Linked DNA regions of Oreochromis niloticus. The protein of the gene in region 1 purifies or fractionates together with the protein of each later gene. This does not show direct contact. Links are inferred from orthologs where the notes say so. Each region holds a gene or a part of one and is shown on either strand. Other genes may lie near its edges.

Region 1 (7,510 bases):
GTGTGTGTGTGTGTGTGTGTGTGTGTGTGTGTGTGTGTGGGAGAGAGAGACAGAGAGAGAGAGAGAGGGCGAGAGAGAGTTTTTATGGGAGCATCTTATTGTATGATTTAAATTCAATATATTTAGACTGGTTGACTGAATTTGATCCTGTGTGTGTCTCTCTGTGCTTGTGGGACTTTTTGCAGCTGTCCATTTTGCTTTTCCAATTTTTCTATTTAAGTTATTACTATTGTGCTAAGTCATAGCATTTGTGCTGCTTTTCAGTATTTGTGCTAAATACAGCATTTCTGCTAAATCATACTATTTCTGCTATTTTATAAGATTTGTGCTAAATACAGCATTTGTGCTAAATCATACTATTTCTGCTATTTTATAGGATTTGTACTTAATATAATATTTCTGCTTAATTATAGTATTTCTGCCATTTTATAGTATTTGTGCTAAAACATAGTATTTCTACTAAATGCAGTATTTCTGGGTAATCATTGTATTTCTATATATTTCTGCCAGGTCCCCAGGGAGTCAGTCCTAATATTCAAATTTACATATCAGGACCTGGACGGCTTCCCAGCCAGCCAATCATATCTGAGTCCTGGCACATTTAAATTTGCATATTGGGGCATTCATGGCTTCCCAGCCAGCCAATCATATCTGAGTCCTGGCACATTCAAATTTGCATATTGGGACCTTCATGGCTTCCCAGCCAGCCAATCATATCTGAGTCCTGGCACATTCAAATTTGCATATTGGGACCTTCATGGCTTCCCAGCCAGCCAATCATATCTGAGTCCTGGCACATTCAAATTTGCATATTGGGACCTTCATGGCTTCTCAGCCAGCCAATCATATCTGAGTCCTGGCACATTCAAATTTGCATATTGGGACCTTCGTGGCTTCTAAGCCCACCAATCATCTATGTCATATATCTCTAATATTTCATATTTTTATTTTAAATGGTCAGCATTTCAAGATTCCCCTATGTCTTCTGAATAAAATGGTCTAAGAATGACTGTTTTAGCCCCTACGGTTAGAAATTTATGGCTGTTTGTTTGAGGGGAATTCTCACTATGAGAAATAGACTGCAAAAATCCTGTCTCTCTCTGTGCTGCATGTGTAAAAGCCTGCACTTAGTGCACCAGTTTTGGCGGGAAAAAGCACACAGCCTCTCTGATTGGTGGATTCAAATTGAGAAGGTCACAGCTGTTTGACTGACCTAGAAACATGCTGTTAACAGCCCCTGTTGACTTTCTGCTGCTGCTGCTGCTGTGTGTGTGTGTGTGTGTGTGTGTGTGTGTGAGACAGAGAGAGAGAGAAAGGGAGGGCGAGAGAGAGTTTTTATGGGAGCATCTTATTGTATGATTTTAATTCAATATATTTAGACTGGTTGACTGAATTTGGTCCTGTGTGTGTCTCTCTGTGCATGTGTGTTTCAATATGTGTCCATATTTGTGATTGTGTGACTGTTATACTTTTTTTTGCTGATTTTCTTTTCATTTAACAATTACATTTGAGGGACCCTTAGCATGCTCAGGATTTTTTCAGCTGTCCATTTTGCTTTTCCAATTTTTCTATTTAAGTTATTACTATTGTGCTAAGTCATAGCATTTCTGCTGCTTTTCAGTATTTGTGCTAAATACAGCATTTCTGCTATTTTATAAGATTTGTGCTAAATATAGTATTTCTGTCAAATTACAGCATTTCTGCTATGTTGTACTGTTTCTCTAAATCATAGTATTTCTGTAATGTTTAAGAATGTTTGGCTAAATATATTCTTTCTGTTATCTTATACTATTTCTCCTAAATTCTTGTATTTTTGAGAAGTTATCGTGTTTCTAGTAAGTTACAATATTTCTGCTAAGTTCTGCTATGCTATTGTATTTCTGCCAAGTATTATGTTTCCTCTAAGATATTGCAGTTCTGCTAAGTAATTACATTTTTGCTAAGTTCTTATGCTTCTGCAAAGTTATTACAATTTTTTGCAAAGGTTTTACAACTTCTGCAACTTTTCAGCTTTTTCAGCTAGTTTCAGCTGACAGCTTCAGCTTTACAGCATCCACACTGCATTTTCGCAGGAAATGCAAATTTTTCTAGTTTTAGTTGAATTTGGATGTTGGGGCTTTCCTCTTTATTTGCAACTACACAAACAGATATGACCACCTATTTGTTGCAAGTGATCCTTTTGGTGTTTTTTTAATAACTAAACAAATGTCCAAGTGACATTTCCAAACTAGATGAATCTGTTCTCCATCCAACTTGACATGTATCGATGAATAAAAATACTAGCTTGCAAATATCAGTGTACACTGTGCACACACTGATGTTATATTGCTGAGGATGATTTTAACAAATAGTTTATCTCTGGTGCAGTCTGATGGTCTGATCAGAAATAATATAGTATCTGCTGCACAGTGATAGCAGACCTCAAGAGAATAACTAATCGCCACTAGGTGTCACAGTGGCTGTTTGTAAAAGATGAGCCAGCACCTGCTCTCTGTTTGCCTGTCTGCCACATTCAGTGTAGAGTCTTATGTGTTACACGTTCCTCTACCAAATCTACAGAGTAACTCTGTCAGGGAGCTTTTAGAAAATTATACTAGCTAAATAAATGATTAAAAGATACACTCAAATTAGGCGTATTTTTCCTGTGAAAACAGGGATAAAATAATATTGGATTCAAGCACCATTTGCTGGAAGCAAATGTCACCTGCACTGGATGTGAAGGTATTCTCAGTACCTGAGATATTTTGACAATTTTGAACATTTTGAGGTCAGCTGTTTTGTATTACATGGCTTTTATACACTTTTCTCTGTGCAGGAGAAATGAAGATCTCTTAAAAGGTAATGTGAACTTGGCTATCTGTGATAAATCATTATACAAACGAGCCAAACTTACTAATTTGAACTCAAGGAAATAGGCCATAGCATCCGGAAAAGAATATTGAATACTGCATTACTCCTCAGAATGTATGTCAGTTGGCTGATAACAGAAACACTGAAAATAAGTCTGTCAATAAGGCATTGCACCACAGGTTTCTAGAACAGTTTGCAAAAAAAGAAATTTGTTATGTTTTCCAAAATATTTTGGTAATATTATAATTAACATTACCAACCTGTGCGTACGCCTGGTGGCTAGAATATCTATTTGGGGGCTTTTTTTTTCAAGCACACCAATCATTTTAGTAACTACTGTCATCATTCTGGAAGAATGAACTTTCATCAGGACCATGAATGCTTCACTGTAGGACAAATGTCATCACTCTGTATGACTTTGAAGTGACTTGTACGTACAATGGCAATGCAGGGATTGAAAAGGGATTCACTGGACCAAATCCCCACCTGTAAAAAAAGAGGCGAGCAGTCAGAACTCTTCGCAAAAATGAGGTGAGGTCCCTGTATTCTTCTTTTTTTCTTCTTCTAAGGCAACACAAGTTTGCCTTTTCAGAGCTATTCATCAGACTGTTTAATTTTTCCCTGCTGCTCAGTACATTGCTACATTTTCTCATACCTGAGAAGATGTAGTTTCATAGGCAGGTAAAGCTGGATTTTTAAAAAAGGTTTAAACACTGGAAATTAAAAAACTAAAAAATGGAGAATGTATCTCTTAAGTTTGAATCTCGCACCACATTGATATGCACAGCAAATGTCATTTTTTATCATAGTCTAACCATTTGACCCTTTTTCTACAACTCTCATTATTGATGATGTTTACTTTTAGAGCAGCATTTCAAGCTGTATCCTACGTAGTGTCCCAATAAAAGAGACCTACATTTATATTCTGATAGTGGACTTTTTTTTTTTTTTAACAATTTCATATAAATTTAGAACTGTTGACAGTAGAGTCCAGGAAAGTAATGCTGAAGTAGCAGCAGATAGTTGCCCCTCCTTAAAGCGGGTACTTCCTGTTAAGATGGTGTTTTTCTGTTCCACCTTCACCCAGTGCCTGCTCATAGGGGGACGTTTGATTGTTGGGCTTTTCATTCTAATGCTTTAAGCTCCTTACCTTGCAGGATGAAGTGCAACATTTGCTATGATTTGGCAGTATGTAAATAAAATGAACCTTAATTGAATTCCTCCTGAAATTGACTGTCTTTAAGTTTGTGAGGGGGGGTTTGGTACTCCACTACATTTTCAGAGAAAAATTTCTCCTAAATATCACATAATCAGACCAAACTTTTTGTGTTATAATCCTTCCACCGTAGTTCTGCAAGGAAACACTGCTCAAGAAACTGAAAAGGGGATTTACTTTTTACTAAAAGTATTGCAACTGGGTCAGCTATCTTGACTAAGTAAGTTTGGTTTGATTAACTCAGTCTAACTATAGATTGTCTGTGTTATTGCAAAGAATGGAATAACTTGTACTGAAAGTGATTTAGTAGGTGTCTTCTAATTGTCATTATAACAGCAAGAGTAGATACAGCAAACAGTAACTACAGCAACAAGCTCTCAATGTACATTAGCAATAAAACGGGCCTGAAACTACAAAACATAAATAAAAGGGCATTCATCTTTTGTAGTTTCACTTTTGGTTTGTCAGGTAAGCTACATTAGGATAACAAGATATATTTTCATTTTAATTCAGTTTTGAATGTGCAAATTTTACATGTACTTCGTTGTTATACATTTTACTGGTGCTAAGATGTCAAGTCCTCCTGACGCTTGAAGGAGCACCTGTCGTCCCAACATCCTTTGCGTTTCCAATATGGAAGAACTGGCGGTGGAGGTCCGTGGCTCCAACGGGGCTTATTACAAGGTAAATACCGGCTTATCAATACAGTTTCAAGCATAAAAGTTTTTCATACGGTACAGTATTCTAGTTTAAGTCTCGTGGATTGTGGCAACATGATCCGACTTCCTCTGTACGTACCCGAGAGTTCGATATTAGCTTGTACTAGCAGTGCTAGCCATAATTAGCAAGCTAAGCTAGCGTCACTCCCATGTCCTCGCCAGCTGACGCTTTTGAGGACCTTTCTTTAAAGCCAGTTTGGAAGAACCGCAGTCTTGCATGCGATAACTTGAATACACAACACAGGGTAGCAGTTATTAATTTTACTTGACTTCTTGTGCAGCTTTCTCGAGCTGAAAGTTAGCTAACTTGATAGTTGCCTAGCTGTTGACGTCGAAAGATGTTGCTGAAGTAAGTAGTATCTGCATGTGTCATCATTGGCTATTGAGCTGATATCAGAAACACGGAGGACCAGCCCATTATACCTTCACGTAGTTTATTAAAGTGTGTCATGTTGTGAAGGCACCGTGGTTGGTGGTGTGAGAGATTTTGAAGTCTCTCTGCACAGACTTCACGACTGACTGTCGCTGTCTATTATTTGATACTCCATCATGCCGAAGCTATTTTTTCGGTATGTGTGAGCCAGCTGTTCCTTGTCAATCCCGACCAGCTGGCATGTGTGTCGAGTGGGTCACTGATACCATCGACTCTAAAGCTATTTCTAGACGTGCTGCCCACAGCAACACCCTCGCCTCTTCTCCCCCTATGTCTCCTCTCTCTTCTCATTTTTCTCCAAACTTCCAAGTTTTTCTTTCTTGTCTCACCTTCACAGCCCATGACTTCTTTTGTACTACTGCATTTTCACACTGTGCTCATTGCTTTTCCTTATTTAACCCAACCCTTTTCCCTGGGCGATTCTGTCTACCCTGCCACCGCTGTGTCTTAAACTCTTTAAACATACGTGTGTGTGCTTTCTTTGAATGTAATCAACACCGTCCTTCACGCAAGCGAGACACATGGCTTAAATAAGTGTCTGAACGCATTGAACCTGGGGTTCAGTACTGTCAAGTGTGGTGTGTGGGGTTGGGTACCTTTCACGTCTAACACTAGCACAGGTGTGGTGCCAAAAAATGATCCACTGTCAAAACTGATTTCTGATGTTTCTGTGTGTGCGTGTGTGTGTTTTCTTTTTGTTGTTGCTTTTTTTAATGATATCTTTACTTATATTGTTAAATAGACTGTAGTCATTAGAATTTATGAAGGAGTTATACGTTAAGTAAAGAAGTTACTAGTTTTACAGTGTTTTTACGTCTCTCTGTTATTGTGCCTGTGTATGAAAGAACTGTGATGATATATTTGTTGCGTTTTCCACTGCCCTCTTGGCCAGATCTCTCTTGAAAAAGACTTTTGTAATGTCAATAACACTTTTTGGATAAATAAAGGATATATAAAAGTAATTTTGCAGCTTCTACCTTGTGATAGGAATGTTGTTTGTAGCATCAAAATGACTTGATACCTTTCATAAGAGATATATTTGCCATATGTTTGACAGATTATAGGCTAACAAGTAATTTTACAACAGATAAAACAGATTTTTGGCAAATACTGGAAAGCAGTTCAAAACTTTCTCTTGCAAAACAAGTCCATACTTATCAAATCTATCATTTTGTTATTTATTTATTTATTTATTTAGATATTTTACACACTAAACTATCTGTGTTGGTCGCTATCTGTTACCATCAGTGATGCTGATGTCACTGTCGCAGTGTTAACATACCACAGTATTAAATAGTAGTGCTAGACTATTATCGGTTGTGGTTACATATTAAGGTTTCAGACATGCTATCTCACATAGTGTAAGAAAGTATGATTGTTTACTGCAGATAATATGCTAATAAATGCAGTGTTAAATATGTTAAAACATAAACTAAGACAGTGACAACAAAGCTCTATTTCTCTGACAGTAATTGATCTAACTCCCAAATTACCTGAAGAAGCTCATGAAGCTGTCAGTGTCTCACTAAAATACTTTTCTTCAGTTCATTGCCACTGTCCTTTGTTTTTGTTGTTCTTTTGTTTGTTTTCTGGTACTGAAATTTGACAGAAGAATAGCACCAAAAGTGAAAGGGAAGATTTTCAAGAGGGTATTGAAAGTTGCTGGTTTCACTGCCTGCAAGTTTGGCTTTGATTCAAAGAGAGGAAGCCAAGCTGGAGGTGGCAGAAGTGAAGATGTTTAGATTTTCAGTAGAAAATGTAATGAATGGACAAGATTAGAAATTAGTACATCAGAGCAACAGCTCAGGTTGAGCATATTGGAGACAAAGTTAGAGAGGCAAGGCTGAGATGGTTTGGACATGTGCAGAGGAGGGACATAATGGAAAAAGGATGTTGAAGATGGAGCTGCCAGGCAGGAAGAAATGAGGACATCACAGATGGTTTATGGATGTAATGATGGAGGACATGCAGACTGTTGGTGTGACAAAGAAGAATGCTAGGGATAGGGTGACATGGAAGCAGATGGTCTGCTGTGGGAACCCCTGAAGGAACCAGCTGAAAGAAGTCTTTGTTTATGGCTTTCAGATTTTACTAGTCCAGTTTTAAGATCTCTGCTGCAGAGATTTAACAACAGTATAGTTATTACATTTTTTCATCCATATGAAAAATTACAGCCATTGACGATCAGTTTACTAATAGATAAATACCTTGGTTTTATTTTGAAAGTTTGGCTGCTATTACTCATTGAGTGTTGTGGCGGTCATCAGTATCAGTCAGCTGCTAATTGACATC
Region 2 (7,143 bases), on another chromosome or scaffold:
TTCACTGTTTTGAAAAGGTAAACTGTGGTTTGTGCTGCATTTGTCTGCATTTTTTGTTGTTATTGTTGTTGTTTCCGATGCTTGTTATTGTGCTAGTGTTTACCCTCACTGTTTCACAAACGCTATTATGCAGATTCGAATGCAGTCTGATTTTATTCTATCTATCATTATGACGCACGATAATATTATCGGAAGGTCTTTATAGTAACAAAAAGAGGAGGAATAAAATACTGCTTAATGAGTTGCAGTCCATTTGTAAAGTTAGTGTTTAAGTTTAAGTTAGTGTTGTCAAAGTTCAAAGTGCGCTGCATTACATAATCAGAGACGTTGCAAAACCACACCCAAGTGTAATGAAGTTTACTTGCTGATTCGTGCATGTATAGCAGATACTTATAAATATAACTATAGAAATATGCTGGTTGAGCCAATCATGCAATAGAATTTAATTGCATGGGAAATATCTGAAGTGCTCTGTGTGTGTGTGTGTGTACTCCAGTGCTGCCAGTATGGAGGGAGATCCTCTCTCAGCCCTGTTTACTCCTGCTTTTGTGGTGGATGTGGATAAAGCGAAGAGGAATGCCCAGAGGATGATCGAGCGCTGCCAGAAACTGGGAGTCCAGCTTCGTCCACACATGAAGACCCACAAAACCCTGTATGGATTCATATGCTCACGCATAGACACGCACACAGCACATGCTTACAGACTTGCTGTGTATACAGGATTCTGATGAGGTCTCTGTGTGTGTCCAGTGAGTGTGCTGACATTATGACGGGTGGATCACAGAGGTGCATAGTGGTTTCCACCCTGGCAGAGGCCTGTTTCTATGCTGACCATGGATATGATGACATCCTCTATGCCTACTCTGTTCCCTTTGATAAGGTTCTCTCAGCTCACACTTTAAATGTGTCCTTGTTTTATATTCTGTGAAATCATAAAAGCTGTAAAAAATTAGAAATGGAAAAAATATATTATTAATAACTGAGCCTGCTGAAAATGTATCAACTATGAATCATATTTAGTAATATTATCACTAGAAACAATACATATATGTAAATATATGATACATGTATATCGCCATAGCACTTGCATGTAAAATAGCTCCAGTTCTATGCCATTACTTTGACATAATTTCTCATCTGTTTTATATTTGTTAGTTTTTAATGTCCCAGCTGTGCTCTCTGTGCCATTTCTAATGTATGTCTCTGTGTGTCTTTAGGTAGAGCGTTGTGCAGCCCTGTCAGAGAGACTGGATCTCTTCCAGATTTTATTGGACCATCCTGATGCTTTGGAGCAGCTCCGAAAAAGACCCCTGAAAGATGGTCGGCAGTGGCACGTCTGGCTCAAACTCGACTGTGGCAATGGGAGAGGTAAACGTGCAGGGAAACCGCAATAGATCTAATCATAAGTGCCTGAGCTACACTTCACCTCTCTGTTAACACGAGGTTTGATCATGCGTCGGCTCTTTGTCATAGCTGGCGTCCTGCACTCGGAGCCAGGAGCGCTCAAACTGGCTGAAGCCATCGCTAAGACGGAGGGCGTGGAACTTACAGGAGTGTACGCCCACTGTGGGAATACCTATTACTGCACAGGAGTTGAGCAAATACAGGCTGTTGCCCAGGAAACCACCAAACTGACTCTGCAGTTCATGGAAAAGTAAGCTGAAAGTTTAAAAAAATACATGTACACTGACTCATTAAAGCTGCTCTAATCAATCATTTTATTTCACTGGCTATTTAAGAACACACACGACATAAAAGCTGTTGCTCATACTCTTGAAAAATTAGTTTTTATGACCTATTTTAACATCTTTGTTTTAGTTTCACAGCCCACAGGTTTCTTGTATTGAGTCACACAGCTTTGTTTCCAGAAGCAACAAATAAATCATACATCATATCTAAAAATGATGTATCCCATCTTTTGCACCAGGCTGTAAACATGTTTATTTCTCCTCTAAATTTGAGCATTTTCTTGTGGGTGTGATTGACTCTTTTAGAGCCACCTGGAAGAATAATTCTGCATTAACTTTGTCTTTCAACTGGTTTTTTGTTTGTTTGTTTTGGGATTTTTTGTGTCAGACTGAAGGCTGTTGGCATCACCTGTAAGTCCAGCATTGGCTCCACCCCTACCTGTAGCCATCCAGTCAAAGACATGGCGCAGCTTAGCGAGGTCCACCCAGGAAACTACGTCTTCTATGGTGTGTACACGTAGACCCACTGTTTCCTAGTTTAAGTGTGACGTGTAAAATCCACTTTTTCGTTATTTGTTGTGTATATTCAATATTCCCAGCGTGACCCAGTAAACATGACACAGACCATGCCCTTTGATTTCACATCAGATGGGAAACATAGAATCGAAAGAGCCCTTTGCCCTATAAAAACAGTCCCTGACCGTACTGTGCTCTTAAGGTCATGATATTGCTGCCTCTTAGTTTTGTCTACTTGCCCCGACATGTTTCTAGTTCACTTCGGGACCCGACAACATTTAAAGCTACAGGCGCTGAAACAGCCTGTTTGGAGCAGAGGTTTATTAAACAGTCTATAGGTATGGCAGGATAAATGACCTTATTGGTATTTTGAGCTGAGGAATAGTCGGGAGACATGTCACATGTCACACTTAAAATATATTTTTCAAAAGGGCCTTTAAATAACAATTTCTTTTAAATGTATGTTTGTGGGATGCAGATGTGCAGCAGTCTACGATTGGCTCATGCTGTCTGGAGGACGTGGCTGTGAGGGTTCTCACAAGAGTCATCGGTCACTGTCCACACAGGAACCAGCTCCTGATTGACTGTGGATGGGCTGGAATCAGGTGGGTTCAACTTCATTCAGTGGGAGCTAATACCTATCCCCTATGTTCTGTTTTTTGTTTTACTCATCACTGCTATCATCAGTGTAAGCTCTGTTTTGGAACAACCATGTAACTTAACCTTTTACCTACTCTTGCTTGTGTCTCTCAGTTTGGACGGAGCTGGGAAACTTCCCACTGGATATGCTGTGATCGAGGGGCATCCAAACCTCAAGTAATGCTTCAAAAAAAAAAAGAAATCTCAGTCTATTTTAGTATCTTTTTTCTCTATAACTCTCAGTACCAATGTTAAACGTGACTGGCGTTTCCCTCCAGGTTGTTGTCTATGACCCAGGAGCATGGACGAGTGGAGCCCATCTCAGGACAACTGGACTACAGCAAATACCCCCTGGGCTCTCTGCTCACACTGATTCCCTACCACGTTAGTACTGAATGATTTATAGCACATCTTATTGACACATCAGTTTTATTGTACATTTTCCTGTTGTCAGACAATGCCTTTTTTCTGCAGTCATGTGCAACAGCAGTGATGCATCCTGTGTACCATGTACACTCTGAGGGTCGTCTGGTAGGGAAGTGGACGCCCACTCGCGGGTGGTGAAGAGCTGGACGATGTTTCCCCCTTCTTGTCTCTTTGGGACAGATGAGCTATATAGAGACTCATTCCAAATTATTTACACATTAGAAACACATACAGCGATTCCTTCTTTGTTAGTGAGATGTGTCATCTTGATGGTAAAACATACAATTAATGAAAATATTCTTACTGTGGGCTTCAGAAGTTTCATATTGTAACAGAAACCCTGTTTCACTAATTTAAATCTCTTTAAAATTAATTGTGTTCTGCACTTGTTTTGTCACTTTTTCACGGCCTACAAGAAGACCTAGCTAGTGATGACTTCATAAAAAGAAAGATGTTTTGTGCTATCAGCTATTAATACCAGTGCTAATAAATGCTAATGAATGACCTTTTATATACAACTGCAAACTTTTGTGATTTATTTTTTCTAACAAAATAAAAAGTTTCTTGGTCCCCTTTAGTCTTCTATTTTTCTGTAATCTATGAATAGATAATTGCCAGCGTTTGAACGGACACGTAAAAAATATCTTGGTGATAAATGTTATTTTTTTTTAATATTACAGAAAATACATCATTCGCATTAATAGTAACCTACATTACTTATTGAAAATATAATAATTAATCAGTCGGCAAAAACCCTTCCCCTGTAGGGTTCTAGCCGCACAGACTGAGCTGTTGTTCGAAGTGCATCTTGGGAAATGTGGTTTTAGCTGGAAGCAGCGTTCCAGTTGGCCACTGAATGACCTTTCACTTGTCACATGGTTTAAAAACTTCAGCAGGATGGCGCGGAAACTTGTCCCAGCAGCACACTGCCTTGCTGTCACTGTGTGAAAGTTGTGTTTACATTTTTGTGTGGCGGTACTGACGCTGTACAGTAAGTTGTGTCGTTTTAGACGCATTTTTGTTTCTGTTTTTATTTCCCACTTTTATTTGGACTTTCGGCGTGTGGCCGCTGATTGAAGCAGGGCTGTTTCTCGCTGTTTGAGAAGAATGGCCGCCCCCACAGTGTTCGTGAATAGAAACGGACTGAATGAAAACCTGCGTTAGGAACTACACCTCTGAAAAGCAAAGCATATTTTGTAGTGTTACAAGCAACTAACTAAAGTCGCGCTGTTTGTCGTTGTTATCTTTAGTCATGAGTGTGCTGGAGGTGAAGTTCATCGGGGATTGCGATGTCCTGGAGCACATCGTGGACAAGCAGGAGGGTATGGATGCTCTGCTACTGTAGAAATGTTAGTTTACGAGCACTTCTGTGTCTCTCTGACTCTGCTGTCTGTACTGTGCGTACCTCCATAAGTTGCGCAGAGCATCGCCGGGTCCGTTCAGAAGATGGTAAAGTTTAAGAGCCCGGCTGGACGACGGGGATGCGGAGAGGATGCGGAACATGATGGAGATGAAAATGGAGTCCACGATGAGCAGGATTATGTCCAAGCTTTAGGAACAGATAATGCAGAAGGTGAGTGCTGAGCAGGGGTAATGACTTTCTTCACCGGGAGGTTTGTTTTCTTTGCAGACAGACCGTGATCAGCTGACGATACTGCTGACTCAGGTTTACTGCTCTTTGTAGATTTACCCAAATACGTTTGGAAAAATGCAGACAGACGTTGGCTGATTTTCTAACTCTACACAGTCAGGCAAAGTACAAATGTGGAATTTCGCAAGTGCTGGTTTACCAGCTGAAATTCAAATCAATGACAGAGATTTGCATATAGTTAGCTCAAATCCCCTACAAAATCCTTGTAAAAATATTCATGTCACAGAGGTACTTATGATTATGGCAGGAGACTTTCTGTACACCTCAGTTTCACTCCATTGCACACATTAAGTGTGTTTGTCAGATGGACTATATTGCTGATATTAACATATTATATGCTTATCAGTACTGGCATATAGGTTGTTTGATTACATGAGTTTAAAAATCTTTTTAAAATTTTTGGTGGGAATTTTGAACATTCATAATGCTGTGAAATTTTAGCTTTGTATAAATGCATGAAAAATATATGAGGCTTTTTTTTTCTTTCTTTTTTTAAATTCATTTTAAAATGACCAGTTTTCTCTTGGATTTACAGAAGATGAAGATGGCTTGTCAAGAGTGGCTGGATCCTCCATCTTTACCTTTCAGAAAGTTAAACGCAGCCACAGCATGGCCCAAACTGGTGAGAGCCTCCATTCTCTTCTCACATAGATCGGAAAATTCGCACATTATACATCTCCTTCCAGTTCTTTCTTTAGATACCATATATGCTCATTTTGTGTTGCACACTTTCCATAAACAGCAAGTGAGCTGGCTCGGACTCCTGGAAAAAGCGTGAGCTTCAGCACGACCCCAAACTTTGAACCCTCAACCCCCAGTCGAACGGGGTGGAGTGAGTACAATGAACTTTCATAATCTTTTCCGTATACTCATCTTTTTGCTCATTTTCACACAGTTAAATATTTTCTTTTCTTCTATTTCAGACCCTAGAGGTGAAAGCAGAACACCACAGAAGGTGAGACCATAGAAACCTTTAAACTTAAAGTCCAAAGCCAGCGACCTCTGGTGCCAACTTAAGAATTTTATTTTATTTTTATTTAACGGCAGAGCAAAAAGGTCCAGTTTGTCTCTACAACACCACACAGGCTCAGGAAGAGAATAGCAAGTGAGTCTAACTGGGAATAATTCAATTCATTCTAAGTGAAATTTCACCTTTCCTCTAATCTAAATGTTTTGTTTTTGTTTGTTTGTTTGTTTGTTTGTTTTTAGCTCCGAGCTTGCGGTCAGACAGCGACAGTGAGCTTTCACCCTCTGACTCGGGTGAGGAGGAGGATGAAGATGGGCTGGAGGAAGAGCAGAAAGGAAAGAAAGAGGATAAAGAGAACGTGACCACACCGAGAACTCCCAGTAAAGGTTTATCAGCGGCTCTCTACAAGACTCCTGCCAAGAAGAGCAAGAGCACGCCCGAACCTCAGAACCAGCCCAGTATGGTTGAGGAGTACTTCGAAGCTCACGGCAGCTCGAAAGTGTTGACATCAGACCGAACTCTGGAGCGTTTGAACACCCCTAAACTTGACAGGGTTTGTTTTTAACGGCATTTTGAAACATTGTAAATGAGCTGCTTTCCTAATAGATTTAGTGTGAATTTATCTTTATTTTTGTTTTTGCAGGAAATGTTGGTCCGACTTCTGGAGGGGAAACAATCCTGCTACTCAAAAGAGATCCAGCAGCTGCACGACAAACACAGAATCCACTTTAGCAAATGGATGTTACAGTTACAGTAAGTGAGGTTGCAACGTAGTTGTATGCATTTTTCTGGTGTTTTAAGAGCAGTAAAAAGTGTCTGTGCCTGTCTGTGTGTAGGCTGGGATTCAGCGTGCTGGTCTACGGTCTGGGAAGCAAAAAAGCTCTGCTGGAAGACTTCAGGGAGTGTCATCTGTCGCAAGAAATTCATCTTGTGGTTAATGGATTTTTCCCTTCCATTACTCTTAAATCAGTCAGTATACACACACACACATGAAAATATTTTGCATAAATTGCATAATAAAATAAATATCCCTGATCATGAAAATTAAATTCTCACAGATATTAAATGCTCTGACGTGTGAGGTTCTGGATCACCAGGGAACTTTCCGAACCCCCTCGGACCAGATCCAGTTTATCTCCCACACCTTAAAAGATAGTAAGCCCATCAAACCCCTGTGCATCCCAAGCATGTGTGGTTGTACCGCATGTTTTACACCGATGTCCTCACAGGCCCAGATCTGCACGTGTACCTGCTCA

What was found.
Region 2: the proteins of fxr1 (region 1) and orc2 purify together in Homo sapiens (affinity purification with mass spectrometry; 4 studies listed by BioGRID and IntAct, with this or other methods). This does not show direct contact. The link is inferred for Oreochromis niloticus from reciprocal best matches to the Homo sapiens genes FXR1 and ORC2.

Annotation. Positions count from the first base shown.
Region 1 is NC_031981.2:30,302,443-30,309,952, forward strand, and holds the start of fxr1 (RNA-binding protein FXR1), read left to right. Parts: upstream 1-4,429; 5' UTR 4,430-4,534; intron 4,535-4,636; 5' UTR 4,637-4,699; coding exon 4,700-4,750; intron 4,751-7,510. UniProt on the Homo sapiens protein: mRNA-binding protein that acts as a regulator of mRNAs translation and/or stability, and which is required for various processes, such as neurogenesis, muscle development and spermatogenesis.
Region 2 is NC_031982.2:7,479,021-7,486,163, forward strand, and holds the start of orc2 (origin recognition complex subunit 2), read left to right. Parts: upstream 1-4,101; 5' UTR 4,102-4,260; intron 4,261-4,519; 5' UTR 4,520-4,521; coding exon 4,522-4,591; intron 4,592-4,683; coding exon 4,684-4,842; intron 4,843-5,455; coding exon 5,456-5,542; intron 5,543-5,662; coding exon 5,663-5,752; intron 5,753-5,843; coding exon 5,844-5,875; intron 5,876-5,967; coding exon 5,968-6,025; intron 6,026-6,129; coding exon 6,130-6,440; intron 6,441-6,530; coding exon 6,531-6,640; intron 6,641-6,723; coding exon 6,724-6,856; intron 6,857-6,945; coding exon 6,946-7,042; intron 7,043-7,116; coding exon 7,117-7,143. Other genes in the region: uncharacterized protein LOC100700781, read left to right, coding at 507-652, 751-880, 1,218-1,368, 1,474-1,654, 2,077-2,195, 2,683-2,809, 2,958-3,020, 3,122-3,227 and 1 more. UniProt on the Homo sapiens protein: Component of the origin recognition complex (ORC) that binds origins of replication. DNA-binding is ATP-dependent. The specific DNA sequences that define origins of replication have not been identified yet.